Linked DNA regions of Alligator mississippiensis. The protein of the gene in region 3 purifies or fractionates together with the protein of the main gene of each other region. This does not show direct contact. Links are inferred from orthologs where the notes say so. Each region holds a gene or a part of one and is shown on either strand. Other genes may lie near its edges.

Evidence for each region.
Region 1: the proteins of ANAPC2 (region 3) and ANAPC7 fractionate together in Homo sapiens (co-fractionation; 6 studies listed by BioGRID and IntAct, with this or other methods). This does not show direct contact. The link is inferred for Alligator mississippiensis from reciprocal best matches to the Homo sapiens genes ANAPC2 and ANAPC7.
Region 2: the proteins of ANAPC2 (region 3) and ANAPC1 fractionate together in Homo sapiens (co-fractionation; 8 studies listed by BioGRID and IntAct, with this or other methods). This does not show direct contact. The link is inferred for Alligator mississippiensis from reciprocal best matches to the Homo sapiens genes ANAPC2 and ANAPC1.

What each region holds. Positions count from the first base shown.
Region 1 is NC_081833.1:2,205,441-2,215,531, forward strand, and holds the start of ANAPC7 (anaphase-promoting complex subunit 7), read left to right. Parts: upstream 1-4,878; 5' UTR 4,879-4,949; coding exon 4,950-5,050; intron 5,051-5,460; exon of another isoform or gene 5,461-5,830; coding exon of another isoform or gene 5,831-5,844; intron 5,845-6,321; coding exon 6,322-6,508; intron 6,509-6,877; coding exon 6,878-6,997; intron 6,998-8,721; coding exon 8,722-8,833; intron 8,834-9,077; coding exon 9,078-9,231; intron 9,232-10,069; coding exon 10,070-10,091. Other genes in the region: ARPC3 (actin-related protein 2/3 complex subunit 3), read left to right, coding at 1-122, 552-646, 2,256-2,318. UniProt on the Homo sapiens protein: Component of the anaphase promoting complex/cyclosome (APC/C), a cell cycle-regulated E3 ubiquitin ligase that controls progression through mitosis and the G1 phase of the cell cycle.
Region 2 is NC_081824.1:237,109,495-237,119,554, forward strand, and holds the start of ANAPC1 (anaphase-promoting complex subunit 1), read left to right. Parts: upstream 1-5,387; 5' UTR 5,388-5,508; intron 5,509-5,972; 5' UTR 5,973-5,996; coding exon 5,997-6,209; intron 6,210-9,491; coding exon 9,492-9,653; intron 9,654-9,816; coding exon 9,817-9,868; intron 9,869-9,992; coding exon 9,993-10,060. UniProt on the Homo sapiens protein: Component of the anaphase promoting complex/cyclosome (APC/C), a cell cycle-regulated E3 ubiquitin ligase that controls progression through mitosis and the G1 phase of the cell cycle.
Region 3 is NC_081835.1:47,567,382-47,577,463, reverse strand, and holds the start of ANAPC2 (anaphase-promoting complex subunit 2), read left to right. Parts: upstream 1-3,893; 5' UTR 3,894-3,909; coding exon 3,910-3,996; intron 3,997-4,808; coding exon 4,809-5,431; intron 5,432-8,829; coding exon 8,830-8,962; intron 8,963-10,082. Other genes in the region: microtubule nucleation factor SSNA1, read right to left, coding at 3,470-3,669, 3,767-3,818. UniProt on the Homo sapiens protein: Together with the RING-H2 protein ANAPC11, constitutes the catalytic component of the anaphase promoting complex/cyclosome (APC/C), a cell cycle-regulated E3 ubiquitin ligase that controls progression through mitosis and the G1 phase of the cell cycle.

The DNA.
Region 1 (10,091 bases), on a different chromosome or scaffold from region 3:
TTCCAAAGGCCAAGGAGAAAAGGAAATGTACACGCTGGGAATCACTAACTTCCCGATACCTGGGGAGCCTGGCTTTCCACTCAATGCCATCTATGCCAAACCTTCCAACAAGCAAGAGGACGGTAAGAACAAAAGCAGCCTTGTCACTTAACTTCAGGCTACAGCATGGATCCAACAGCCTGCTTTATTTCTGTGGCTGTCAAACTGCCTTGTGAATCAGTGGTCCTGCTTTCTCTGTGTACCTGGAGTCTGACTGAGTTTGGGACAGAGTTACTATGCTGTATCCCTGCTAATCCTGTCAAGTGAGCAGCTCTGCTCCAATCCCACAACACGGGAAACTAAACTGTGGTAATTTACCCTGCTGTGCTCAGGACTAAGCAACCCTGGCTCAGCAAGTGTTGAAAACAGAAGGTGATGCTAGGGGTGCAGACATTGCTAATCCACTCTTTAGCCAGCACATCAGATGGCTTTGCTGTTGGCTGCCAGAACTATTCTTAGACAGTATCTAACACTGCACACTCCAATCTGTATTGGTCCATGCTCTCTTCCAGAGGTGATGAGGGCCTACTTACAGCAGCTGAGACAAGAAACTGGACTTAGGCTTTGTGAAAAGGTGTTTGATCCCCAAAGTGACAAACCTAGCAAGGTAAGATGCTGTTCTCACAAACTGGTCAATACATTTTCTTTTTTTTAATCCCAGTTTTTTGGCCTCCATTTTTTTTCCTGATTAGTGGACACTTGGGGAATGTCAGCTTCAGGGGAAAAGAAAATAATTCTGGATTTGCTCCCTAAGGCATGTGTTTGGAGAACGGAAGTCAGAGGCAGCAGGGAGATGGATAGGAGGGTAGCGCCCTGTGATTTAGATGAGTCTGTAAGTGAGATGGTAGCAAAAGCCAGGCTAGGCTGCACAGGCAGAAGCATCCTGTCCAAGAACACAGAGGCAACAGTCTGTTTGTTGGTCAGTCCTGCAAAGTGCTAGGTCCCAGCTGGTCACACTCAACTGCATAGAAGAGAACGCGTCTGGCACTGAGGGTACTTGGCCTCTTCCATAGTGAGCGATGCAGTTCTTCCTGTGTGGGGAAAAGCACTTTGCTAACGGATGTATCGGTTAACGCAGGGATGGGCCATACGGTGGATCTGGCCAGTAGATTTCCCAGTGTTGCTGGGGCCGGTTTCCATGGAGATCTTGGGAGCGGCAGGGCTGTGCCAGTGTGGGGCCAGGGTTTCCATGCAGACGGCCCAAGCAGTGCTGGCAGAGAGCTGCTCCAGGGCTGGGGGTGGGATTTTGCAGTGGTGACAGCGTGGTCCAAACTGGGGCAGAGCCATGATTCACTACCTGCATGCCCCGCTCTGACAGTGGGGGCTGGAGCCAAGGCATCGCCACAAGCTCCTGGCCCTGGAACAGCTCCCTGCCCAGCCACTGCCCTGCCAGTGTTGCTTGGCGGTCTCCATGGAAACCCTGGACCCACTGCTTCTGGGGTCTCCATGGAAACTGGCTGCAGTGAGGCAGTCAGAGGCTGCTGGGAAAAGGGAGTCCACCATGGGTCTGAATGGGCCAGACTTCGCTCATCCCTGAGTTAACTCCTTCCTTTCATTTCTGCCTGCCTTGGTGTGTCGTTTCTGAGAAGAGGTTACAGCCTAGGGTAGATGCATTTTGCATATTTGCTCAGATGCTTAGGCCAGTTTTGAACAGTAACTTCAATATTATTGAGCTAGTTATGTTTCAGAATGAGTGTTGACTGCCTGATGTCTAGAGTCTGGTCCAGAGACTTGTGCATCAAAGGCAAGGAGTCATGTTTTTAAAGCAACTGGTATGGGGCTTTCTTAAATGGCCACTTCTGGGAAAGAAATAACTGAAAAGATTTCAGAGTTTTAAAGACCACGTCCACCCCCCCCAAATACTGCTTAGCTTCCAGATCTAGACTGGAACTGCATGCAGTACACTTTGAGGTGTGTATGTCTCTCCTTTTTTTCCAAATAAGCAAGATACTTGGAAGCTAACATTGAAACAACCACCTTAAAGAGTATTTTAATGCAAGTGTCCCAGTGTTACAATCTGAATTATCCTGTATTGCCTGCCTTGAGTGCCTAAAACTCGTTAAAGCCACTGTTGAAAACTGGATCCCTGGTCTGTGCAGAGTTGGGTTTTTACATAGTGGGTGTCAGGCAGAACACACAAGTCCTGCTTTGTTTACGTAGACTGCTTACTTGGAAACTCCTCTGGTATATCATCTCACTGTGGATTTCTCTCTTAGTGGTGGATCTGCTTTGTGAAGAGACAGTTCATGAATAAGAGCCTGTCAGGTCCAGGACAGTAAAGAAGCAAAGAGGAGTGGCAACAAGGTTAAGCAGTCTACAGCAAGGTGTAAAAAATATTTTGCTTTTGCTTCATACATGTTTTGTACCAAGGAAGAATAAGTGCTTATGAGGGAAAGCTGTCAGTCAATGCGGGGAGGTGGAGCAAAAGGACCCTTGAATCCTGTAAGTGAACAATATTAAGCTGGTGCTTAATAAACAATTTCTAACATGCTGTTTCAGATCAATGCTGCTTTTATTATCAGTTGCCTCATATATAATGTGTCTTACATGTGTCCTGCAGTTACTCTGCTGGCTAGAGTCATTGCCACTTAGGCTGTATTGTAAAGCATGGTGAATTTTACTCCTTTTTCTAATAAACTTAGCTTATTTCACATGATACCTGTTTTATCTCTTATGAACGTGGATAGCTATACAAAAATGAAAGCTTGATTTGTTATGTTTGTGCCAGCAAGCCTCAAGTAAATTTGAGGGTTTGTTTTATAGGAGCTGTAGAAACCTGTGGTAAGAAATGTTTCTTGCCCTGACAAGGTTACTGTCTAAATAACACAGATGGGAAAGGAAGGAGATGCAAGGGTAAATGGCTACCCAGGGTTACACAGGCACAGAGAGTAGAATCCTGGGATAAATTCTCGACGCCACTGAATGCGGCCAGGACTTCCCCCTGAGATCCAGGCCCCTACTTCAGTCGCTGGTCCGTCCTACTTTGGGACTCCAGAGTGCCACCCTTGCACTGGGAAGTCTCTCTCTCTCTCTGTCTCTGCTGGATTAAACACAAGGGATCCTGACCCTGAAGACTTTATTCAGGCCACTTTCTCTTCTGTGAGATGTTTTTCAATAAAGATCATATTGCAGTGAGCACTGTGATGATGCCACCTGCGTGAAGACCGGCGTCATTCTGGGCTGTAAGCTGCCATTGGCTATATAGTTGCATTAGGGCAACCGCTGACATATAGATGTAACTTGTTGTTCTAATTAAGGGAGATTTGCAGAAGACATCGAGTGTTGATCACCTCATAGCATTCTTCTTCTCAGGCAAGTGTTGCGCACTAAACAGGGGTGGAGCAGAAAGGGGAGTGGATGGCTTAGAGCTGGAACACTCAGAAAATAGCGAACAATACTTTGGACTGATAAGCTATTAAAGAAGAACACTTGGATGGGATGTCTACAGCTGGAATATGAAACCATCAGCAGTAAACTGAGTTGCTCAAATTTTGGATTTAAACAAAATCTGAGGTGTCAGGCTTAGCTTCACCTCTTACACTTTCTATCTATTTGAAATATACTGCCTGCTTACATATCAGATTAAAAGCCTGAAGAATTAATTTTGAAAAGTCAAGATTTTTACACTCATGCACTAAAAGCATTCATTCAGTTCTACTGTTGGCAGGAGTCCAATGGCTGCCTCTTGCAATGGGCACTCTTCTGTAGAGCACCCAGTGTGGAAGAAGGATGTTTTAGGAGGATGAAAGATTAAGCAGCTACTGGCGGAGAAGGCTGGTAGAAAGGCTGGAACGGGAAGGGTGGCTGAGGGTATTCTGCACCTCTAAAAAATCAGATCCTGGGTGATTGAAGTCTCAATGCACCCAGTAGTATAGTGCTGCCAGAGGCTCTGTCTTATGCTTAAGTAACCAGTGCTTGGTGCTGTGGCTTTCATACTAAGCCCTTGCAAAATGAAAAGGGAAGTGCTCCTGTAGAAAGCCGAGTAGAACTAATAGTAGGGCTGCAGTTTACAAACCTGTACTCGTTTATCCCAGCTCTTTGTAGCAGGGCCGTGCTCCTCTGCACCAATGCTCGTTCAGCAGTTACCGGCGCCACGCTCCACCCAGCTGCCCCTGCGGTCTCGCCAGCCACAACCCAACGCAGCAGCGCTGATCCTGAACCTCTTCGTTCGGACGGAGGAGACTGAGGATCGGCCCACCCTGGGCGAAGGAAAGAAAGACAAGATCCCCTCTGCGGCACCGGCCACATCTAACTGTCTTGCTGGGTTAAAAGCAGAGATCTACAGCAGTGTTTCCCACCCTTTTCCAGCCCCAGGCTCACTTGCATTAATAACAACTGCCCTGGCACACTTGTTAAGGCATTCCCCTTCCTCATACCTGTTGTAGCTCATTGCCATGACAAAACTCTGCATCTGTTCAGTGCTGATGGCACACTGGTTGGGAAACACCCCTCTGAGTCCTGTTCCACTTCCCCCCAGCCACAGCCGTTGCTCGTTCCTGTCCTCTGTTACTGACTGAGCAGCCGGCCTGAATTCACAAGGGCAGTGCGAGCACAGCTGCCAAAACTGCTGGCGAGCGCCGCACACGCGAGCGAGTCCCACTGCGCACGCGCACGCCGGCCACCAGCTGGCGTCTGCGCACTCCCCCTCCCTCGGCGCATGCGCGATCGGCATTACCCCTGAGGCGTCCTCCTTAGTGCCTGCTTGCAAAACTCCCCATTTGTGCCCGGCCGCGCGGCAAAGGGGGTGGGAGGGAGGTCTCAGTGGCAGGCATCAGCAGGGCGTGAATCCGAGGCGCGGGCACAGGCGCCATCCCCGGACTCCTATATCCTCCTGAGGGCGAGGCCCCCTCGGCGGCGCCATTTTGGAGGCTCGCGACGCCTCAGCCGCCCGGAGCCGCCTCAGCGCCGACATGAGCGTGGTGGAGCACGTGCGGGAGATGGCGGCTGCCGGGCTGCACTCCAACGTGCGCATCCTCAGCGGGCTGCTGCTCACCATGAGCGGCAACAACCCGTGAGTCGCGGGGCGGGGCGGGGCGGGGCGCCCGTTGGCGGTTGACGGTTGGCCGTTGGCGGTTGACAGTTGGCCGCGCCCACCTGTCCGTGCTCCTCCCCCGGGGCTGGATCGTCCCGTGCGCTGTGGGGGTTGCACTCGGAGCGAGGGTCTGGCAGGGAGCCCCCAAAATGATTGAAGGGCTGGGGGAAACCGCTCATCCTGAGAGACTTCTGTTGCCCTTCTCAAAACAGAGGTTGAGCGCGGCCTGGGCTAGTAAGCGAAGCCCTTCAGTGGTAGAAAATCTTGGGTCCAAAAAAACTCCCTTTAACCTAACAGAGAACGGCGTAACAAGAAGCGAGTTGAAGCCGGGCGATTCGAGGTGGGAAGGAGGGACCGATTTTGAACGGGCATGACTAACCTGGCAAAGGAAATCACGCATTTTATCTCTTGATGTCTTCGGATCAAGAACAGAGTTTTTTGAAGATGTTTTAACCGAGATAGTGACGGGTTCAGTACCGCGTGACTGGATAGCAGCGGCAGCGTTGTCTCTAGAGGAGCGGTTTGCGCGCCGTCAGTTTAAAACGATACAAACTTCAGTGCCACCAAAAAAGTTTCAGTTCAGAGTTACGTGGCACCAGCACGTTTTTGTCGTAAAGTCATTATAATAAATCTGTGAACGCGTACCGCTGGTGGTACGTGTACCGCGGTTTGGGAACTGGTGCTGTAGAGGCACAAGTTTGAGCATCGCTCCGGATTTGTACTGATTCTAAAATCCAAGTCCGCTTGCTCTTCAAGAGGATGATTCACAGAGGGTGCGTCTACATGAGATGTTTAACGCGCATTAGACTAATTCTACTGCGCATTAGGGCGGCTGGCAAAAACCATGCTAATGTACAGTAGACATAGTCTAATGTACATTAACGTCACAAAAAAATGTTCATCTGCGCTAATGTGCACTGGCACCGATTACAATGCATTAATACCTATTATTTTATTGCAGGTACTAAATTTAATGCGCCGTAACGACATGCATTAAAGAACATGTAAACGCACCCAGTATTCACCGCTCGGGAGTCATTAAAGACATGCTTAGGGTTGCTAAGGCTGTTCTCGCCTTGGGTTAAAGCACTTGTGAATGAAAGGTGCAAATGTTGCACTCATACGTCTTCCACTTCTGGGTCATAGCTAAGGGCCTCCTTCCTAACACTGAGAACTTAGGTTCTAGCAAATTTGTCCGTATCCTGTCATCAGACAGTTCAGTTAAGCATCACTTTTTTTTTTTCTTCCAGAGAGTTATTCTCCCCTTCTCAAAAGTACCAGCTGCTTGTGTATCATGCAGACTCCCTCTTTCATGACAAGGAGTATAGGAATGCTGTAAGTAAGTATACAATGGCCTTGCAGCAGAAGAAGGCATTAAGTAAAACTTCAAAAGTTAGACCCTCTACTGGGAATGCTGCATCAACTCCACAAAGTCAGGTACTTAGGCTGTTGGTGTGTTCATGTTGTGACATGGGCTGTTGGTGTGTTCATGTTGTGACTTTAGATTATAACATTGCTATACTAAAGTAGCCTGAATTTTTAGACTGTTTAACTACTAATGGCGCTGAACTCATGGAAAAAACATAAGATGGTTACCTGGGGCCAAAATTTTGCTTCTTAAATTTACAGTTTTCATTTAGAAGCTACAAAATAGCCTGAGTTATGCAAGTACAGCTTACCATCTTCCTTGCACTTTATTTATCTTTAATGAAAAATCTGATAGAAAACTTATGATTCAGCCATTTCTTTTCATGTAGTTAAAACAGCATTTGAGAGGTTATATTTTAGCAATCTGTTTTATTTTAGTGTCTGCCATCTGAAATTGAAGTGAAATATAAAATGGCTGAGTGTTACACAATGTTGAAGCAAGATAAAGATGCCATTGCTATCCTGGATGGAATTCCTTCAAGACAAAGAACCCCAAAGGTAAATCCCTGGATGTGTTTCTGGTCTGAGAAGACAGAGGGCAGGGCAGGGTGGCACCTTAAAGAGGGCACGGATACCAGAAAGGCATGATCTTTTGTAAACTACAGCCTACTTCCTCACATGCATCTAACATAGTAGATGTGGGCCGTAGCCAACAAAAGCTTATGCCCATGAACGAGTTATGCTGTAAGTGCCGCCCTGTCATGGTTTCTGTGTACCATCAGACTAAGGCAGCTAACTACCTCTCTCTGCTGAGAGGGTAGTTTGGGTATATTTGGAGCTTAATATTAATTTGGCCAGAATTGCAAATCTAGCTTTGTATATATAAAGACATCAACCCTTGGCACTTGTGGTTGCAACGTCCACATGAGAGATTTGGAAATGCTCCTTCAGTAGTTTATACTAGCTAAGTTCATTTAGCTCATTTCTTTAAAGCAGGAGATCGCAATATGGATTTTATTTGAAAAAAAATCACCTAACTAAAAGGAACTAAACGCTTGTGTGTCTTCCCCAGTTAATTCCTGTGAAAATTAGTGAGTAACTTACTAGTGGGAATTACAAAATCTCTCCTGTGTGAGGAAGAATAGACCCTTTAACTTCTAGTGGTATGTGTCTAACTCATTTAGGACTGAGGATTCTACCAGACTTACAAACATTCTGCTTTTGCCTGGTAGTCTGTTAACAATCCAAAACCTTTCATACCTGGTTTTTACTTTCCTCCAGACAAAGACTAATTGCTGTGCTGGTAAATACCCTAGCTCTGAGTATGGTGATCCTCCCACCAGATTCCTGAATGCTGCTAGGAGGACAGCTTGTGTAGGAAACGAAGTGCTGCTGTCTGTTGTGACCTCAGCAGCGTGTGCTTCTTGAGGCTGAAGAAAATTCCTGGCCTGATGAATAGAAGGGAAAAACCCAGCAACTATGTTCCCTCAAGATTCTTCTCCCCTGGTTTAATGGTAGTTTATGTAGTGCTAAATATTTAGATCACAGCAGCATGCAGAGCCAAAAATGTTGAGTCTTTTGCTTGCTGGCTCTGTCATCTAGTTAATCTCTTGAACCATTAACACCTTGTGCACTTTAACTGAGGTTTGACTGTTAGCATTACATTTTGGCCAGTGTAACTAACTACAAGGTGTCTTGCCATAAGCCAGACTTACTGCACAAAAATGAAAACATTGAGAGGCCAAGCAGTTTCTTCCCCTTGTATGTCAGCAAACCAAAATAACTGTGCCACAAAAGCTAGCTGCAGTGACCTGAATTTAAGCTATTTCCTGAGCAGTTAAGTTATTCAGAACCTAAATAAAAAACCTCCACCTCCCAAAGGTTACAGTTCTGGCAGCCTTTCCTCACTATGTAGAGAAAGCTGGTGAAAGGAAACCAACGTAAGATGCAGCTGTTTGTCAGGTATCACTTCCACATATGTAGATAGTTGCTTATATCAGGATTTAATATATGCAAAACTGAGGTTTTCAGAGGCCTTATGCAACTATAAAAGAATTACCTCAGTTTTTGCCTTCTGAATCAGAAGAAACACTTATTTTACAGGATACAAGGAATTGTAAAGCTGGGTTCATAACTTCTGTATTCTACTTAGAGCTGGAAAGATGGGGCTGTAATGAATCTAGGGCCTTCTCTCAGTGATGAACCTCTGCCCTACATAATTGTAGACTGGATTATCACAGCCAATACTTTTTTTTTTCTTTTTTTTCCCTCTCTCTCTACAGATTAACATGATGTTGGCAAATTTGTACAAGAAGGCAGGTCAGGAACGGTCGTCTGTTACAAGCTATAAAGAAGTGCTGAGGCAGTGTCCTCTAGCGCTTGATGCTATACTAGGTAGAGTTCTTTTTTTCTACCAAATACTTAAATATTTAATCTTAAACAATGTTATTACCGACATGCAGTGCTTGAGACTTAGTAAATGAGCAAATACAATCTAGGAATTATACAGGCAGTTATTTATAATAATCCGTATAAGTTTACAAAGCAATTAAATTGTCATTCTTTAAAACAGTTAGCTAACTTGTATTACCAACTGCATTGGTTACTTGAAACTTGACTGGTGTGTTTTTCTGAATAGGTTTGCTCTCCCTCTCAGTAAAAGGTGCAGAAGTGGCCTCTATGACAATGAATGTAATTCAGAGTATCCCCAACTTGGACTGGCTTTCAGTGTGGATCAAAGCATATGCTTTTGTGCACACTGGAGATAACACCAGAGCAATCAACACCATCTGGTAAGAATCAAGGTGAATTAAAGTGTTCTTGAATCGTTACTCTGCATAGGATGTTAATAGATTTAAACACATTGTTTGACATGGTATGGTGTGAATTTTGTGCTGTGTAGGGCTATACAGTCCCAATCTCTAAACATTCGTTGGATTTTGGCAGATGCCAAACGAAACATCTCAGGTCGGGGAGGGAGGAGGAGAGTGTCCCCCATATTGCAAGAATCTTGATTTGGAAGTCTGTGTAGCAGAAAAGTAATGATATTCTAGACTTACTGCCCAAGTTTGTGGCAAACCTTTTTAAAAGCGAGTTACTGTGAGCCCACCTCCCTAGTGTTTCATGTTACGAACTGTTTAACTTCTTGAACTACATCCAGAAGCAAGTTACTAGTGATGATCTGTAAAGCTTTTAGTGGGTCTAAGATTTGCTTTGATGACACACTGAGGTTTAACATGGCAGCACACACCATCTTAGCAAATGCTGCTTGCTTCTGGCAGCAGGATATTTTGGTAGAGGTCTGCTACCTAAAAAACTTTCTCACTATTCCATTTTGGCAGCCTTCAGCAAGCAGGGTAAGGCGTATGTGTGTTCAAGAAAATCTTGAATGCATTTTTACACAGTGTGCGGGCAGTATTCAATCAGCAAAGGCAGATAGTAGGGCTGTAGTTAAGTGGTACTGTTTTTTTGGTAATCATAGGTCTTTTACTGACTGTCACATCTGTGCTTGTAAAAAACAAAACAAAACATGGTTACTTATTAGAAACAAACTGTAGGCTCCAGGAAGTGCATAGCAGTGAATGGTAAATAACAAGGTACAATGTTAAATGGCCATTTATTTTCTGTTAGCTCATTAGAGAAAAAGTCTTTG
Region 2 (10,060 bases), on a different chromosome or scaffold from region 3:
CATTTTAAATCTGAAATAGGGATCAGATGGAATAGCTGCCTGCTCTAGCAGAGGACAGTACACCATGACCTAGATATGAGGTCCCTTTTAAATCTTTGCTGCTATGTAATCTGGCTCTGGGTGCAATGTACTTCCTGTCCAGAAAACCATGACATCCTAAAAATCCTACCTTTCTCCTTGTAAGGCAGAATGCTTGAGGAATATGATGGGGTACACTACACTCATTATTCAGTGCCTCTTGGGAAGTACCCTGCAGCTCTGTTGCACTTGGCCAAACAGTACACCCTGTGGGGAAGTCCTGTCAGGCAGCCATAATTAAAAAAAAAGTTAAAAACTACTTTTGGCTCCTAAATGTGATGCTGAGTACCCCTCCTAACTTGCAATCAGCTTTCTGTTTTTAAAGTGTTCACCTATGCTCACAACTAGAAGAAGCTGACAGAGGCCCTGATCCTGCTCTGGGTCCCATGTGGGTAGATATCTCTGCCTGCCTGGAGCCACACTGTACTTAGTGGGGCTCCAGCTTGGCGACTGGGCCCTCCCACAAGCAGCTTGTTCACATAACTGCAGAAGTCAAAAGTGTCTTCCTGTGACCCACTCCATGGAGTCTAGCTCACAGCATCTAACAGTCTTTGTCAGCTGTCTGTAAGTTCATTCTAAAGTAGTAAACCACCTGGCAGCATTAAGGCAACCACAAAAACAACCCCCCATCCTAGAAAACAGAGGAAGATTTTGTCCCCTTCTCTGCAGTTGACTCTATCCCTTTAAAAAAGATCAGAAGTTTCAGAGAAACAGACTGGAACACTTTTGAGCCTTAGCAAGTGCCCAGAGCTGAGTTTCTGTACCAGGAGCTTAAACAGAAGCTCTGATAGCTCTTGTGGGAGGGGAAACAAAACAGATGTTTGATCAGAAAGCAGTGGAGACTTAAGAGCTGTCCATTTATGTTCGGATTTTGTTTGGCTGTTCTTTATCTGGAGTTGAACTCTTAAGCTGTATGGAGCTGAAGAATTTACTAGTGCAAATGTTCTTAGTTGCAAGACATTTATGACACAATCTGGAAACTTAAAAAAGATTTTTATAGGGTGTCTTTAAAAAGATTTTTCTGTAAAGCTACTCATTCTCTAGCCCTCCTCTTGGGGGAGGGAATATGAGATGTTCCCTTTTAATGGAGGCTGCTTGGCATGGCAGCTTATTGTGGCTAGAAGGGCCAATTGCTTGATGAAAAAAAACTTGTACTCTTAAAGATGACTAGGTTCTTTAAAGGGATGACATAAGACTAGTTCAATATGGCTGTGAATTAGTGATGTAGTGACACTAGGGTCATTTTCAGTGATCTGGACATTACAGGGAAACTGAGACTGCAAATACGAATTTAGAATAGAAATGAGACTTTGAACTGCAAAAGAGAAATCATTATTATACATATTTATTTCTAATTCTTCCATCCACTTGTGGACTGTGGCCAGGGGCTGCTCAGTTAGGGGTTACCTGTAAACACCTTCTTCTGAAGCCCCCTCTACATGTTACAGGTATTGTGCAATTACTTTGATACCAGCTACACCTGCAAAGTAGTTATAATACACAATAAAAAGCTCCAACCAACTATAAAGTTAGACCTTGAAAATGTGTACAACTTTACAGCTGGTTGCTATCTAGCTTTAATTTGCATGTGTAAGCAGGGTCTCCCCTGCAGCTGGGAATCCTCTCAGCTGACAGACCTCCCAGCCACAGGGTTGCACCTTGCCTACTGTGAAACCCCCAGGCATGGGGGATTGTGGCTGCCTTGGTCCCCTGGGCCTGGGGGATTGCGGCAGCTGCAGTCTGCTGGGCCCAGGGGTGCATGGGGTTCCCTCACATTGTGGGTAGCCAGTTCACAATATAGTAACCAACTGGTCACTCTTATTTGTTTCATAACTGGGGAGATCAACTTCCAAAGAAATGGAAGGGAAGTGGCTTGCAGGCCAAAAGGTTGGAGGTAGAGGAGCTTCGCCCATCCTGTTTTCAGGGGCAGAATGTGTATCTGAGAATCCCAACTAGATAGTAGGCTTGAGACTTCTGCATTATGCCTGATTTACTTTCTCCCAGTAAACCCAGATGGCAGAGCATTCTTTCTGCATTGAGAAGTGCCCAGGTTCTGCCGCAGCAGCTCCTGTGCAATACCTCCCTGGATACCACGGTACAGACATGCCCAAGCTCCCTTACTTCTTGGAGATCCCTATCTCTCTTCTCTTTGAACAGCTGCCATTGCTCCTACCTCTACATCCCAGTAGTGGCAGCTGAGTTCCACCCTGAGCAAAACCTGCCACTATGGTGACAACACCAAGACAGAGAGCCCCGCTGCCTTGGTGAAAGCTGAGTGATAGCTTCCCTCTTCCAAGGCTGGTTCCCTGCTCTAATAATAACAGCAAAGGCACCCTGCCCCCTCATCCCAGGGGTGGATCCAGAGGGGGTGCAGTAGGGTGACTACATCCCTCTTTTGGACTGGATTGTGCTGCTGGAGCCTCTGGGGACTTCTTTTTAAGTGGACGAGAATCCTCCGTTCTCCTCCAGAGTCAGAGGCACATCTCCTCTCTTCCCCTTCCTCTGTTCCCCACCTGTCCTGCTCCTATTTCCACTTCCTGGGGAGGGGGTGGGGGGGGGTGAAATCTTCAGAGCTGATCCTACTCATTCCAACTGGGCTGCAGGGGAGAGGGGGAGGACAGGGGGCAGCCACAGTGCCTACTCCTGGGGGGAATGGGCAGAGTGGAGGAACCTAGCCCCTTCCTGTTGCTGCACTGTACCCAGCACAGAAGCATCCCCAGCTCTGGAACAAATGGGAAAACTGCAGTGACTGGGAAGGGGAGGGGAGGGCACCTGCCTTAGAGCATGCAGAGAAAAATCAGGGATGCTTACATGTTTGGGAACTTAAAAAAAGTCCTCAGAAGCTCTTGTAGGGTGGTGTGTCTGTACCAGTGGCTTCACATCCCACCTGCCTCCAAGCTGCCTCCCCCACTGTCAGTGACACGGGCAGCGTGGATGGCTCTGCCCCACACCCCTATACCTAACCACAGGGCCATTAGCATGCCTGGGCATTGCCTTACCCTGGGGCAGGGGCCTCCTGCCACAGCATCACTGTCCTCCATCTCCACCTCCATGGCGAAAGCCAGGTGGCAGCAGCAGGTCCCTTCCCTCTGGGCCACTGATACACTGCCAGGAGCTCTGCAGCAGGTCTAGTGTTGCCAGGTCTTAAGTATGAAATTATTGTATTTACTGAAAAACTACCATACACTGAAAAAAATTGCAAATGAATATACAAATAAGCCTTCTTATTTACTTTATATTGCTCATTGTAAGTCACCATGAGAACTGGGCCATCCAACTGGAAGCATTTCTTTATTTTGAGGTAAGCTGTCATAAGAAAATGCTGACAGCAAACCCAAAGGCCTGTTAAGACTCCTTGCAAGTGACTTGGGTTTTGAATATGCTGTCAATGAGCTGCCGCAAAAATAGGTACATTCTGAACACATTTTCTATTATTGATTGTCAGGGATCCTGGCTTTCTCTGAAAAAAAATCCCCAATTTCCAGTTTAAAAAAGTAACCCCAAATCCACGTTTCCATGATTAATATGGAATGCCTCTAATATATTGCAACAAGGTTCTTTGGGTAAAGCTGCTATTTCTTATTAGACCAACTCAAATAGTTGGAAAAAATTCTTGCTTCCTCAGCCTTACAAAGGTCTTGCTTGACCAATCTCATTTCCTTTTACGACCAGGTGACCTATCACCTGGACAAGGGGGAAGAGATTGGTGTCGTATATCCTGACTTTAAAAAAGCCTTTGATCTGGTATCCCAAGATCACCTCTTGGCAAAACTGGCTAGCTGTGGACTCAACCTCACCATGATCCACTGGCTGGGGAATTGGCTCTGCAGTAGGACCCAGAGGGTGGTGGTTGACAGAAGCCAATTGTCACAGTGCCCTGTGACCAGTGGGGTCCCTCAAGGCTCTGTCCTAGGGCCTCTACTGTTTAACATCTTTATCAGTGATGTAGACACTGGTGTCAGAAGCAGACTGGCCAAGTTCGCCAATGACACCAAACTCTGGGGTAAAGCATCCACACCTGAGGACAGGAGGGTGATCCAGGCAGATCTTGACAGGCTCATGAAATGGGCAGATGAGAACCTGATGGTGTTCAACACCCAAAAATGCAAGGTTCTCCACCTTGGGAGGAAAAACCTGCAGCATGCTTATAGGCTCGGCAGTGCTACGCTGGTTAGCACTACAGATGAAAGGGACTTGGCGGTCATGATTGACCACAAGATGAACATGAGCCTTAATGTGACGCTGCAGCTAGTAAAGCAAGCAAAATGCTGGCTTGCATCCATAGATGCTTCTCAAGCAAATCCCAGGACGTCATTCTCCTCTTGTACTCAGCCTTGATGAGGCCGCAGCTGGAGTACTGTGTCCAGTTTTGGGCTCCACAATTCAAAAAGGATGTGGAGAAGCTTGAGAGAGTCCAGAGAAGAACCACGCGCATGATCAGAGGTCAGGAAAACAGATCTTACGACGACAGGCTAAGAGCCATAGGACTCTTCAGCCTGGAAGAGTGCAGGCTCAGGGGCGATCTGATGGCCACCTATAAGTTTATCAGGGGTGCTCATCAGGATCTGGGGGAATGTCTGTTCACCAGAGTGCCCCAAGGGATGATAAGGTCGAACGGTCACAAACTCCGCTGGACCGTTTCAGGCTGGACATAAGGAAGAACTTTACTGCTTGAGCCCCCAAGGTTTGGAATAGACTGTCGTCGGGGGTGGTTCAACCACCTACTCTGAAAGCCTTCAAGACACATTTGGATGCTTATCTTGCTGGGATCCTATGATCCCTGCTGACTTCCTGCCCCTGGGTCAGGGGGCTAGCCTCGATGATCCTCCAGGGTCCCTTCCAGCTCAGCCCGAATGTCCGTGAAATCTATTAAATCTATGAAATACCCGAAAGCTTGCAAAGAATTTTTTTTCCAACTGCCTGAGTTGGTCTAATAAAAGATATTAGATTTACCCAAAGAGTCTTGTCTGCCTATGTCCTTAGACCAACACGGCTACAACCTACACAACTTATATAGCGAGAGAGAGAGTGGTGTTTCATTTTAGTCACGGAAAAATGTGGATGTGGGGTGTTTGTTTTTTTAAATCCGAAATGGGTTGGGTTTTTTTTAAGCAGAGAAAACCAGGGTCCCTGTTAATCATACATGGTGCGAAGGCTGAAGTGATGGCACCAACACCATCATTATGGTACATCCGTCTTGTCCCCTCCTCCCGGCCGTACCCCGCTGCCGCGACAACAGCCCGGAGGTCTCCCGCCCCCCGCCGCGGTGACGCAGCCTGCGAGCCGAGGAGGGTGGTGGGAATTCCAAGATGGCCGCGCCCGCGTGAGGCGCCGCTGGGGCTTGCGCTGCGCTCTGCGGAAGGAGCCCCGGTCCCGCTGCCGCCGCGCGCCCGCCCTCCCCCCGCCCCTCCTTTTTCCTGTGGCAGGCAGGTTCGTGCGCGCCCGAGCGCGTATGGGTAGCGGTCCCGGACACCTCACCGGGAGCTCAGGAAAGGGTCCCTCCAAAGCGGGGTTGGGCCAGGGCGGAGGCTTTTCTGTGGCCTCACTGTACAGTGGTTGGGAGGACAGAGCTGTGGGAAGGGTGGGACCGGTAAGGAGCTTGGCAGACAGTGCTGGAATCGCTGCTATCCTGGTGGTTTTCTTTGTGAAAACCTGGGACGCTTGGCTCAGGCTTCAGGAGAAATAGGAATAAGTGAGCAAGTCAGCTGGCAAGCAGAACTGTACACTACAGAACCTTGAAGAGCCTTGAAATGTGTTTCCCCGTATTTCTTTTTCTTGAAAATCCATGTTTACATGCAAAGGTTTTTTGTTGTGAACTGCTAAATATTACCTAGGTGATTTGCATGACATCGGAGGCGTGACTGGCACTGATGACTGTTTTGTCTTGGATTCAGAAATAATGTTGATATTTGGAACCCATGTCGAACAAGCATGAAGAGAGGGCAACGATGATTGCAGCCGGGGATTTGCAGGAGTTTGTTCCTTTTGGCCGTGACTACTGCAGGCACCACCCTAATGCCCTGAACCTTCAGCTGCGGGAGCTGCAGCCAGCTTCTGAGCTATGGTCCTCTGATGGAGCTGCTGGCCTTGTGGGATCTTTTCAGGAGGTGACAATCCACGAAAAACAGAAGGTAGAGTTGGACTTACTGATTAAACAATTATTCTGATGATTAAACCTAATGAGCTTGAAGAAAAAAACTTTTCATTAACTATTTGAACTATACGTACTAAAATACATAATATATGTACTAATATATGCTTAAACTCCAAATATTGAGGAACTCCCTCCAAAGAGCAAATAGGATAGCTGTATGTATTTGTTTAGGAAACGCATGTAAAAATATAGATAGTACATTTTACTGCACTGTTTCTCATTGCAGTGATGTGCTCTGGTTCAGCACAGTTGTTACATTTCTGTCTAGCCATGTGTAGTCACATGGGTTTCATTGATCTGGCTTCTACAAACAAGCTGCTGCAGTAACTACATCCACCCTATGAAGAAAAGGACAAAAGGGCAAGTTTACATACAAAAGCTATACCACATTAACTATTAGTATAAGAACACACTTCTGATGGGGATGCAGTTCTTCAGCTACAAGGCACAGATATAAACATGTCTACATTAGATTTTATACTGAGTTAATTAAAACTGTGAGGGAGAAGGGAAGTAAAAAATGGCAAAAATCAGTTTACATTTGTGCCAGGTAAATTAGCGAATGATGCAATTATTTCAGTGAGATGTCCAGTGGAAAAGTACAGAGAAGACGGGAAGAATTTTCACCTGGTGTTTGTTAACGTGGAAGAAGCACGTGACCATGTATCTATTAAGAGAAGTGGTGTGATATATGAGGGAACAACTAGTACTAGAGCTGTGTGAGGGTTGTGCAAAATGAGTGTAGAGGCTCAAAACCACAAATTAGAAGCGCACACTGGAAGGCGGGATTTCCCAGTCGAGGTTGGGGTTTGTCAAGGGTCAGCACTATGCCTGTTTTTTGTTTGCATTAGTTCTTGATATGTTCACCAGGAGCATTCAGAAGGATGACGTTGCATAATGTTTGTAGACTACGTGGTCGGTTTTGCAAAAGGCAGAGAATGATTTGAGCAGGGGGAGGGACATCCTGAAAAGGCATAGTCTATGGATCAGCAGAGAAAAATATGGAATACATGTCATGCACTTATTCAGGGAGTGCACCCCTGGGATTGGATGACCCACACACCTGCATATACGTTCAAGTACCCGAGCGCCATTGTGGAAAAAATAGAGACAGATGAGAAAATTAAGAACAGAATAAATAAAGGATAAAGTGGGGTTGGTTACCATGACTTACGATGTAAATTTTTTCTTCCAGATTAATTGGCATTTTTCTAAGAGTGGCAAGGCCAGTGCTATTGTATAGATCAGTGCTGGCCAACAAAGAAACAATAGTCGTCCATGATATGGGTGATGGAGATGAGGATGCTGATGTAGATTTATGTAGCCAGTAGGAAAGACTAAGAAAGGGAGAGAAATGATGACAGGCAAAGGTGACATCAAAGTGGGGACACACTTGGAGTAAGAACAGTGAGACTGATTTAATGGTTTTGATAGAAAGTGATGTTCCTAACCTACCATTAGATTAGTATGAAAATTGTGTGTAGGACAGGCCCCAAATAGTTCCCCCCACAGCAGCAATCTTACTTGTAATGATGCCTACTCCATTCCCTCCCTCCTACTTTGATGTATTCCATAACTGATTGTGAAACCCTAATACACAGATAAAATGTTGTACAATCAGGTGGGCAAAAGCTTTATGCCATCACAGGTGGCTGCGAAGTGTAAGATTCTATCTAAAGGAACAAAAAAATACTGCTTCTGACATCGTCCGTTTCTGCAAATTATGGATTAATCTTTTTTGTTTTTGTTTTTGTTAGTTTTTTGCATGTAAAAGAAGCAAAGCTTTTTTCTATTTTTGTCTGTCAGAATCTAGCTGGACATGTGTAATGTTTACAGCTATTCATAATCCATGATTTGAGATGTGTATGCATGAGTTTGTATGCAGCTGGGAAGGAATGTACCTCTGGTAAACCAAGCCCTTGGGTATCAGATAGAAGAGTGTTCCAGCACTCTAACTATAATATAACTGCGTTGTTCTCTTGGTTGGGAAAATATTGTGAGAGGGTAGTAAGGAAATAAGTCTGAGCATTTCATAATTGGTGCATATATCAGCAATCTCTGCAAACAAGCAGAAGAGCAAACAGGCATGGAGACCCCCCTCCTGCCCCCCCTTCTAAAAGAGGTTTCTAGGGCTGGTAGAGACGAGCTGGAAAGGAAAGCTTGGACTATATCCATTTACTTGTGGAGTTATTCTGCCTCTTTCGACTCCAGGCTGGCTCCAAGTTTAGATTTTTTGTAAGCACAAGGTTTTATAAAAGCTAAGGCTATTAGAAATATTTCTATACTTTTTTATTTTTAAACAATGAAAATAGTAATTTTGACATTTCAGTGATTGTTTGGGATGCAACCCAATCACTGCAGAAGTGAGAACTTGAATTTGAAACTAACCTTTAAGAAGTACAAAGATTAAATGGCATGGATTATAAAAAAATAAAAAATAAAATAAAATAGTTCAAGATAATTCATAATAATTCATTATAACTGGGGTTTGTGCATATGCCTTGGGTGTTTCAGAAGGCAGGGTAGATGATGAACCTTAAAAACTGACTTAAATAAGATATATAGGGCATAAGCTTTTGTGAACTTGAGTTTACAGCATCTGATGAAGTGAGAGGACACGCACAGAGCAGTGTATAAAGTGGAGTGAGTGATCTGAATACAAAAGGTGGTGGGGGGAGGGGGAGGAAGAATGGCAGGGCTGGGCAAGGCAAACAAGCATCCATAGAAATGAAGGGATCATGCAAGCTAATCTTGTTTTATATATATTTAGTTTGTCTGTGAAGTGCATATCTACCTTTTCTTCTGCCTGACTTCATACTAATGCAACTAACTACCTTTGGTATTGTAACCATCCCTCCCCTCCTGCTTTCCAAAGATTGCAAACAGACCAGGTTAAAACACCTGAAAAACTATTGGGTTGCCTGAAACACAGTAGCAACAATCCCTGAATTTCTTGCTGTAACAGAATGAGGACAGTGGACACAGTGGCTAATCTGTGTTTTGGTACACCACATAGCTGACCTCTCCTTTGATTGTAAGCAGAGTTTTTCAGTGTAACAGATATTATGTTTTCCCACTTCTAGAAAAGAGAAGTAGAAACCAAAATCTACTCTGCTCTGCAATAATAGCCAAAGACTTTATTTGACTGATTAATAAAACTAAAGCTAGACCCACCTTTAAGGTTGCACTAGACTTGTGGCTAAATCATCCTTCAGTTGATAGGAGTGTGTAATGTTTTCTTAAAACTTATGATTTACAGGAGAGTTGGCAGCTGAGGAAAGGAGTCAGTGATGTCGGTGAAGAAGTGGACTATGATGAAGAATTGTATGTGGCTGGCAATGTGGTCATTTGGAGCAAAGGAAGTAAAAGCCAAGCCTCTACTGTTTATAAGGCTTTCACTGTGGATAGTCCTGTTTTACAGGTATGCACAGTTTGAAGTTATGGTCATTGAATGGGTGCATATTAGCTAATCAATACTAGCTAACTCATTCTAAACTTTCAATGCCTTGGAGCAGAATGAAAACATTGTATGAATAGAAATGGTGTATTTAGTTTTTTAATATCAGACTGTCATTCTTTTTTAGGCATTGTGGTGTGATTTCACCATACCACAGGAAAAATGTGGAAAGGATGACAGTAAGTTTCATTTTAATTTTTATTGTAGTGCCAAATTAATAGTTTATCCTAGTTTAATTTTGTTAACTTGAGAAATAAACTATTCATTTTAGAGCTAAAAATACCTGTTTATATTTTCCATCAGTTTCAGACAGCAATGAAATGGTAGAGAAATGTATCTGCATATTGCAGAGCTCCTGCATAAATGTTCAT
Region 3 (10,082 bases):
CTTTATAGTCAAGAGGAATTTTCTACCACTGCAGTCTTTAAAACTTCTAGGAAGAGCAAGCTAGTGGTTTGATGCTGGAATTGTTAGGGAAGGGTTATTTTGCCTGTGTTTTGGAGGAAGTCAAATGGAATGATTGCAATGGCCATTTATTAATATTCACAGATGTTAAGGCTGGGAGGGACCATTGTGGCTTCCTACCGGAGAACCTCCCCCTGTGACTCCTGCATTAAACCAGCAACAAGGGGATGAACAGGAGGTTTTTTAGAAAGATGCACAAATCCTTGATTTAAGGATGCCAAGTGACAGAATCTGTCACATCCCATGGTCAGCTGCTAAGTACTCTCACTACTAAAAAAAGTGTACCAGGCTTTTGGATTATGTTCCGCCTTGTCTGCTCCAGTGAAGGGCACTCTGCTAAATCTTTTCCCTAGCCAGATATTTTGTCTCAAGTTCTCTCTCACTTTTCTCTTTATTATAAGTTCCTTAGTCTTTTGCAAGCTAGGATTTCCAGAGCTTGGATCATTCTTGTAACTCTCTTCTGATGACTTTCCTGTACGTGGACATTTTTTTCTTGGTACGGAGGAGGCAATACTCAGTAGTTGTCTCACTGATGCTGTACACAAGGGCAATACCATCTCTACCTCAACTCAGCTTTCACAGGAACATATGGCTAAGGCTTGCATTAGATCTGTTAGGCACAGCACTGGGCTAGTACACATTCAGCCAGTTCCCACCGTGGCCAATAGGGCTGTGCAAAGCTTCGGGTGGTGATTTGATTCAGAGGAGATTTGGCCCGATTCAGTGGCCCAATCACTGAATCTGAATTGAATCAGGGGACCAATTAACATTAAAGGTCTGAATCAATTCAAAGCTCTCCAAATCTCCTTGGAAGAGCCCCCCCACGTGGCATAGGGCAGCAGGGATTGCCCCGCCAGCAGGAAGGTGAGTCTGGGGTTTTTCTCATTTTTTTTTTTCTTCTTAAAGGGCCAGAACCACAGCGAGTAGAGCAGCCACAGGGAAGCTGGGGGGCAAAGGGGGGCAGAGGTTTCGTGCAGAGCCCCCCACGGGGCAGTGGGGAGCAGTGGGGATTGCTTCCCCAACTGGCAGCACCTGCTGAGTCGGGGCTTCTTTTTTTTCAAAATGCCGGGAGCTGGGGTGGGCTGGGAGAGCGGACAGGGGATGGGCCTGGGCCATTCAGAGATTTGACAGGAGCCAAATCTCTGAATCGATTTCGGGCAAATCAATTCGGGACAGTGATTCAAATCACCAAATCGAAACACTGTCCCCCGAATTGGCCAAATCCGAAGCGAATGCTGGCCACTTCACACAGGCCTAATGGCCAATAACGAATGCTCTTTCATGGCTTGCCAGTGAGACCTGTTTTTTAATTTCTACATAAATAAACTTGTATCTGGCAGCTGCATGGGTCTTGGACCCCCATGGGATTTTGCAGTTTACTTATCCCTCCTTCCTGCCAGAGTAGCAGTACCTGCTTGACCCACTTTCTGCAGACACTATCCTCTTTGCCCCACAACCCACATATCTGGAAAGGGAAATGTCTCCTTGCCCTGCTACATAGTTTTTCCAAGCTCCATTCGTTACACTCATACACTAAGTACTAAGGGACTAAAGCACAGTTCACACACAAGCCACAACATGATTGTGCCGTGACAACTGCAAGTGCCATGAGCTTTTCACACCCTTCCAGTCTTCCCATAACTCAAACATGGCAACACTGGAGAAACAATGCAAGGCAGCGCTTCTGCCATGACAACGCAACAGCCTTAAGGGTTCCCCTGGGGACAACACAGAGCTTACTCCTCCCAAAGCTCTTTGTCCCTTGTGATCTAGGACAGTGGTTCTCTACCTTTTTTGGACAAGGACCCATTTGTAAACATCAATGGCCAGGCCCAACCCACTGCCCCCCACCCCCAGGCCCCCAGTACGTGGGGCATGGGGGCCCCTAAGTAGCCCCTTGGAAGCTGGAACTCTGCCAGTCTGCAAGGGAAGAGCCTCGGTTTTCCACGTTTTTCTCCTCTAAAAGAGAATCCATTTTTTAAGTTTGTTGATCAATTTTTAAAGTTTGTTCACAACCCTTTTATATAGTCTTGTGACCAACTTTTGGGTCACAACCAACAGAGTGAGAAACACTGATCTAGGACAATCAGCAGCAAATGCTCTCTGAAGCCATAATGCTGCCTTGAGCACAGTGAAGGTCACTATGATCAGTAGTCCTCATCTAAAGAGGGGAAGGCTCAGAGGAGATAAGAGATTAAGAATGGGTAAGCTACTAAGAGTCGTGCCTGGAAGGCCACTGGGAGAGGGGCGAGGCAAACATAGAGAGAAAGACAGACCCCAGCACAAAATCCCACAGCAGTGAAGACAAGTTCAAGTTTCTTCTTCCTCCACTATTTTGATTTCCTTCACAACCCTTATTATTGACCATGATCCATGCTTGTACCCTGGGCTAGACAGAACCATTAATTCCTGGTAACTGTGGGTCTTCAAGAATTGACTCTCTACATTCACAGTTGTGAGACAGCACTCCCTAGGGTGAGCTCACAAGATCCTCCTCTAAGCCCTGTCCATTACAAGATGCCCAAGTACCCTTTAGCTGACTGAGCCATTTGGTGCACAAGGCTAAAGAAGGGATGCACAGCTACACTTGCTGCTGCCAGCTCTTCTTGACAGTGTGCCGAATTATGGCTATCTACAGCGGGGGTGGCCAACCTACGGCACGAGTACTGCAAGTTGCATGGGCATCCTTTGTGCGGCCTGTGCCGGCGGAGGGGTCAGGCAGCACAGCAGTAGATGGAGCAGGGAGCAGATCAGACTGGGATCACAAAGCAGAGAGCTGGCTGAAAGCAGAGGAAGAGACTGGGCACTGGGAGCAAAGGGCAGGGAGCAGAAGGCAGAGCTGCAGATAGGGCAGGGAAAGGGGATCAGTGACACCCAGGGAGGGCACGGGGCTAATCTGCGGCATAAGAAAGGTTGGCCCCGCACTACTCTAGAGCAGCGGCTCTCCAGGCCGGCCTGTCCTACCCTGCGGCCAAGGGGCCGTGCCCGCTTGCCGCCTGCGCCACCCTGAAAGGGCTCCATGCAGGCAGGGAGCCCCTTCCCCGCCCAGCCCCACTCCCGCCCCAGCCCCCCGCACCCACCTCGCAGCCCGGCCCATTTCATTTCAGCCAGTTTCTACCGCAGCTGTGATTTTCCCACGGATGGGGGGGCCCCAAAACTACATGCTGCAGCCCCCCCAGAATATCACGGTGCTTCTCAACCTTTTTTGTACCAGGCCCCATTTGTAAACATCAGTGGCCCGTCCCGACCCGGCGCCCTCTCCCCAGGCCGGGACCCCGGCGTGCGGGGCGGGCTGCAAAGGGAAAGTCCCCAGGTGCCGCTTCTGCAGGAGGAGGCGTGTTTGCAGCCGGCTCAGGGCGGTTTCCCGCGCCCCGCGGGGCCGAGGCGCTACCTTGCCGTAGGCCGCCTCGGTCTCGGCGATGGTGCGCTCGAACTCGTTGCGCGTGGCCATCTTGCGGGCCAGCCCCTCGTTGAGGCGGGCCAGGCGCTCGGTCAGCAGCCGGATGTCGCTCTGCAGCTTGCCCTTCTCCTCCTCCTCGCGCGCGATCTGCCGGCCCAGCTCGTCCCGCCGCGCGCACAGCTCCTCGATGCCTGCGCCACACGGGGGGCACGGCGCTCAGCGCCCGCGGCCCCCGCCACCGCCGCGCCGCGCCCCGGCCCCAGCCCCAGCCCCGCACCCGGCCCTCACACTTGACCAGCTCGTTGTTGTAGCTCTGCAGCGCCGCCCCCTGCTGCGCCATCGCCGCCCCGGCCCCGGCCCCGGCCCCGCGCCACCAACGGCCTCCTGCGCCCGCGCCGCCCCGCCCCGTCCCGCCCCGCTCCGCTCGGCCCATGGCGGCGGCGGCCCCCGGCGCGGGGCTCTCGGCGGGCTGGCACGCGCTGGGCGCCGGCCTCGTGCCGCCCGCCGCGCTGGGGCTGGTGAGTGCGGGCCGGGGGGCGGCGGAGCGCAGCCCCGCTCCTTCCCCGCGCCTGGTCTCGGGGGTTTTGTTTTGAGCCCCGCCGGGCGGCTGTGGGGCGATGCCCCGGCTCCCAGAGAGGGGCGAGCGGGCCCGCAGGCCTCGAGGGGGCGGGGGGGCGCAGTCTCTTGGGGCCTGGGGATGTCTTAGGAAAAGGCCCCTTGCGGCAAGTCACAGCTCCCAGCGTTGACATTTGTCACGGGATTTCCGCGGGGGCGCGAGGGGGGCGCGTAGCAGGTGCGCGCGCGGTCGTCTCCGACGTGGCCGCCGTTCCGGCCTCCTGCTCACGGGTACGTAAGGAGGGTGCCCCACTCCTTGTGCTCTGTAATCGCCCTCGAAGTGCAGCGATGCCGTGGAAGGCCTCGCCCTGACGGCCCTGGCGCAGGACATCCTCGTGTGCTGGCTCAGGCTGGAGAGAGCCTGGCAGTGGCCCGTGACCCGCAGAGGGGATGGAGCGGGGCCCGTTCGGGTCACGGCTCCCATGTCAGCTGGGGATGCAGTCGGCATTAATACCACAACAGCAGTCGCCCTTGTGATGTGAACAGCGACCCATTAGGAGTGGGGCTGAGACCTCCGCCCCTCTGCCCAGGAGGGATGCCGGATGCCAGTTAGTTGGTAGCTTTCAGTCCCTGCTATGCCCTACTGTGGACAAGAGCAAAGGGTCGGCTGGTGAGTGGCTCCATCTGTAGACTGCCCCCTGAGTCCGGTTGTCTCTCCAGCCTCAGTCACCCTTCAGGAGTCCCTGCTTTCGTTTACCTTGGTGTCTCTCTCTAGGCAGCACCCAGGTCTGGACCAGTGGAACCGCTGAAGGACAGCGACTTGCAGGCCGCTTTGGAAGTGCTGCGGAGCTATGACTTGCACTGTGTCATAGAGGAATGGTTCATTCAAGTTTTACAGACAGATCTTCAGACAAATATAGCTCCTGAATTCTGGAACTGCATTGGCCAGTATGAAAACACAGCTGAGGAGCCCCAGTGCTCCTTACTCCTCCTGGATGCTTTTTGTCTGCTCAAGTGCCGCCTAGACCCTTATCTAAACAGTCTAGATCTTCTGGAAAAATGGACCAAAGCAGGCTTGCTCCTTGGAACGGGTTCCCAGATGCTACGAGAGAAAGTGTACACCATGTTTAAAGCCATCCTCTTCTTCTCCACTACAAAGACCTTCCAGGAGATGATCCAGCAGTTCTACAGCCGCACCTTCAGGATATATATGCAGCAGTGGAAGAAAGGAGAAGATGGAATGAATGAGTGTGAGAGCAGTATGAGTGAAAATGATCAAGAGAGTGATACAGAAGAGGGAGGAGGAGACAGCCAGCAGTGTGCAGGCTGCAACAGTAAGAAAGACCAGTGCTGGTGTCCCACAGCCATGGAGCAATTTCAGCAGCTCAGTGAGATCCTGTATGTATCCTGGAGGGAGGGAGGAAAGGGATTTGTTGGACAGAATCAATATACCATTTAGAAAGTAGACTGTCTACAGGCCTGTCATGGGTATGAAAGTCAGAAAGGTCCATCCTAACCTAGTCTGCTTCTTGCAAGGCATTGTCCAGAAAATCTTGCCCAGTGATTTCTGCATCTAGCCCATAACCTGTGGCTGAGCTACAGCAGATCTTTGACAAACAGGAGAGTGGTCCTGGTAACTGCTGTGAGATTATCACCTCCCTTTAGGCTTGTATTCCCTTTGGGGACAATGATTCTAGGCGAAATATTTTCTTTTCCCCAGATGCTAAAGATCTTGAACCTGCTGTTGTGGTTCAGTGGTTGAATCCTTGTCTGCCACATGAGAGACCTGGATTTGATTCTTGGATGCACCTATAACTACAGCTGTCGAGGCACCAAATGTCCATACTGTCTGGCCTTTGGATACTGTCTCAATGGGCTAAAGGGGGAATAGAAGGTCTGGGCACCCCCCCACTTCTCCATACTTGTAGCCAAATGCATTGAAGGTCCTTGTGACCTCTTGCGCATACACTGGGATCCAGAAGGGTCCACGTTTGCCTACTAAAGATCTTGAAGAAGTTGGCCAAATTTCAAGGTACTAAATAGTGCACACATACCCTGCGTGTGTAGTGTGGCCTCGTTAATGCTTCTGTTGGGACCTTAAGGATGATATGTAAGAGGCACTACATAAGGCCTGAACAGGAGTTTAGAAAATATTTGCTTGTTTTTCCATTAGAAAGCAGTTCTTATCTGCAGTGTGTTAGCTAGAGGATATTACAAGCAACTGGAGAGCTCGTGTGAATATAACCAGGGATCCGGGTTTTCCGTTTCCCATGGAAAAACAGAAAAATGCAGTTTCCCCCTTTACCCAAGGAAAACATGGATTTTTCATTTTAATGGAGAAACCCACAGATTTTGCACTTTTGCAAAGAGCTCTCTGCAGGCTGGTAGAGTTCCAGCCTGCAAGGGGCTGGGGGGAGCAGCAGGAGGGTGCTCAGGCAGGGGGTGTCATGTGTATGTATACACACATGGCCACCAGGCAGCCTGGAGAGCTGCTCTGCAGGTAGGTCTGGCAGCAGCAGGGGCAGGGAAGAGCGGAGGGGGATTGAAGCCCCCATAGGGAAGGGGGGAGTTGGGTGGGGGTGAGGCTGGGGCTGAAGCTGTTGCCCAGCCAGGAGGGTGTGTGGGGTGTGTGGCCTGGGGTCAGAACGCGCAGCTTCAGGGCCCTGGCGAGAAGCGGGACAGGGCCTGTGGGCACTTCGTTCAGGGGGTGGGGCCAGCTCCCCACCACTGTGCGCGCTCCTTGCAAGACAGGAGGCTCCCATACCCCCCAGATCTGTGCTCAGGGTAGGGGATTTGGGCAGGGGCGGGCTGCCTGCTGTGGGCTTGGGTTCCCCACCCTGCTGCCCTCCCCTGGGACCTCCACAGCCTGGTGGGTGTGATCCAGCAGGGCAGGGCAGGGCAGAGCAGGGCCTCGTGGGGAAGTTCGTTGCTGCTGAGAGCTCCACACTGCCCTGGCAAGGCATCCCCTGCCCACATGGCAGCAAAGAGGGGTACAACCCTACACCACTGCCCTCGTTGCTGCCATGCAGGCAGGGGGTGCCTTGCCAGGGCAGCCCAGAGCTTGCAGCAGCAGTGAGCTTCCGTGTGTAGCCCCGCTCTTTTTTGCCACACTGGGTCACACCTGCTGGGCTGCGGAGAGCCTGGGGGGGGGCAGTAGGGTGGGGAGCCCAAGCCCGCAGCAGGCAGCCCATCCCTGCGCCATGCACAGATCAGGGGGCACGAGTGAGCGCAGCGATGGGTAGCTGGCCCCACCCAAGCCCACAGCTGGCAGGGGAGGGGGTGTGCTCCGCTTCACTCCGCTGCAGCAGCTGCCACCTCCTGTGGGTGGCAGCTGGGGCTGTGGAGCTGCTGCAAGGGGCAGAGCGCTGCGGACCTGGACCCCTGGCCCTGTAACCCTGCCAGCTGGGGGCCCACTCTGGTATGGCTAGGGGGGCAGGGGGCTGTGGGTGGGGGGTGAGGGACACCAGCAGGGCTGGGGGAGCTGTGCGGAGGAGTGAGGGGCACTGGCAAGGTCCAGCGGGCTGTGGGTGAGCATTGAGGAGCACCAGCAGGGCTGGGGGGGCTGTGGCTTGGGAGTGAGGGACCTGGACCTGTGTTCTGTGAGCTAAGGGGGCAGAGGGAGCTCTGATTTTCCATGATAACCCAAAATCAAATACCAAAATTTATAGGTGTTTAGAACTTATTTAATTATAATGATTGAGGCACAGGTAGGCTTCCAAATTCCTTTAAATGATAAATATTATCAAGAAAGTATTGTGTTCAACTGATACCTCTCTCTCGCTCTCTCTCTCTCTCTCTCTATTAGTGCCCTTTCATTTTAATCATGGAGTTTTAATAAGAAATTTTGCGGGTTTTTTATCAGACAATTTGCAGGTTTTTTTATTGGGGAAAACCAGGATCCCTGGATATAAAACAGCAAGCAAAAGTGGATCCTGAACTCTGGAAAGGTTCAGGGATTCCTATTCTGTTTAAAACCTCTGGCTTTTTATTTTTTATATCAACTTTATACAAGCTCCAGATAGTCCCTTTGCTGAAAATCTAGCCCTCCTCTCTTTACTTGAGGGGTGAGAGCTATCTCTCCAGTTCTCCAATCCATCAGCATGGACTGGAAGCAATGGCTTATGATTTTGTATGTCCTGAAGATTACTCCTAAAGAGTAAACCTGTTTATGCACTTGCTTTGCAGGTGATGTTTGACTCCTAGGTTTTTTTTCCTTCTTGCATAGCTGCAATCTGGGGCCCAATAGTAGCATGTGCTATGAACACGTAACACAAATAGCCGAAATTAAAATGTACCTGGAACTGTTAAACATTTAGCTCTTTACAATATCATATGTTAGAAATAAATGAAATGTTTAAAGCTATGACTCCTTACTTCCTCTGCACTGCTTGAAAAATCTTTGAAAAAGCAGTGTGTTTGTAAGTTTTTGGAAAGGAGTTTCTTTCCTGCCTAGATCTTGCAAAATGCTTATGCTCTTTAATTAGTCCTAGCTGATTAATTATTGATGATATAAATTTGGGTCCAGTTGCCTCATTTTTATTTTTGCTTCCTATTGGATGACAATCCTCCCCAAATAGCCATCCTGCTGACTGAGAAAAACCAATTCTCTTCACAGACTAGAAGCCAGGTGATCCAGCTAGAAATGTACACCATGACGGTTGCCCTGAAGTAGACACACAATTTTACCCTCTTCTAGGTGGGGATCATCTTCCCTTCTTCCCAGGCTCCATTATTAGGCATTTGCTTTGTGCTTTTCTCTGTGTGCTGTAAACGAAGCCCCCTCTCTATATCTGCAGCCACAGGCTGAACCTGTTGGAAAGGGTGAGTTCTGATGCTGTGACAACTATCCTGCACAAGATGATTGAGGAGAGGATGGAGCGGAGATGCAGGGGTGAATACGAGCGCTCTTTTCTGAACGAGTTCCAGGAGGTAAGCCCCACACTGACTAGGGACTGTCACTAAGGCAACATGTGCCCACTTCAGTTGCAAGTTAAAGAGGCTTATTTTCATATCAGCTTATTTGGAAAAGGCCTTGTCTGATCATCCAGGATCCCCAGTGGCTGGTAGAAGAGATAGCGAAAGCTCTGCATTTCTGTTTAAAGCCAGAAAGCACCATTAGATTATCTAACCCAGGGGTAGGCAGCCCCCAGCACATGTGCCAGTGTGGCTTGTGAAGGCATTTTGCTTGGCATGCACATCTTGGGGTGGATGGTAGGGAAGTAGCCAGGGCTGTACTACCACAACAAAGATTGAGCCCCTTGCAGTTCCCTGACGTCCACTCCTGGCACACCAACATCTTACAAGTTGAGGTTGAAACTATTTTTGGCACTCTGCCAAAAACCATTGCTGATCCCTGATCTAACCTGATTCCCTGTGTATTACAGGAAGTAATAATATTTCACTCGGTTTCACCCATATTAATTAAGAATTCATTCAGGGACAGCCCAGGTTATACAGGGTGATCCCAGCTGCCCCTTCTTTTGTCACTGAATCTAAGGAAAGAATCCAGGAACATGTTGGGATAAAGCATATCTTCCCAGGAGCTGGCAGTCTTGGATTTGAAGGCAACTAAGGATGGAGAATCTACCATGTCTTTTGGTGGTTTATTCCAATGGTTGCTCACCCTCATTGCTTAGGTTCCACTCTCAGTCATCATGTCCTGTTATGTTTTTCTCTATGAGAGTAAGGAGCCCTTTAGTATCCATTATCCAACGCCTCAAGAAATGTACTGAAGCAGCCCTGCGGAGTCACATGGCAATCTGCTGGCTTTGTCAATATAAAGACTGAGTTTTTAAGGCTCTCTTGACAGGCATTTTCTCCAGCTCTCAAATAACTTTCATCGTTTTTTTGTACCTTTTCCAGTTTTTCAGCATCTTTTTACAAATGCTGGCCCTATCCCAGGCTGGATGCTGCTTTAGTCCAGTGTCTGTCTCACCGGTGCCATACACAGAAGCGAAATCACCTCATGGCTTCCCTGGCTGCAAGGATCATGCTAGCCATTTTTGCCAGCAGCTTATGGGGAACACATGTGGAGTTGTTTATCTATTGT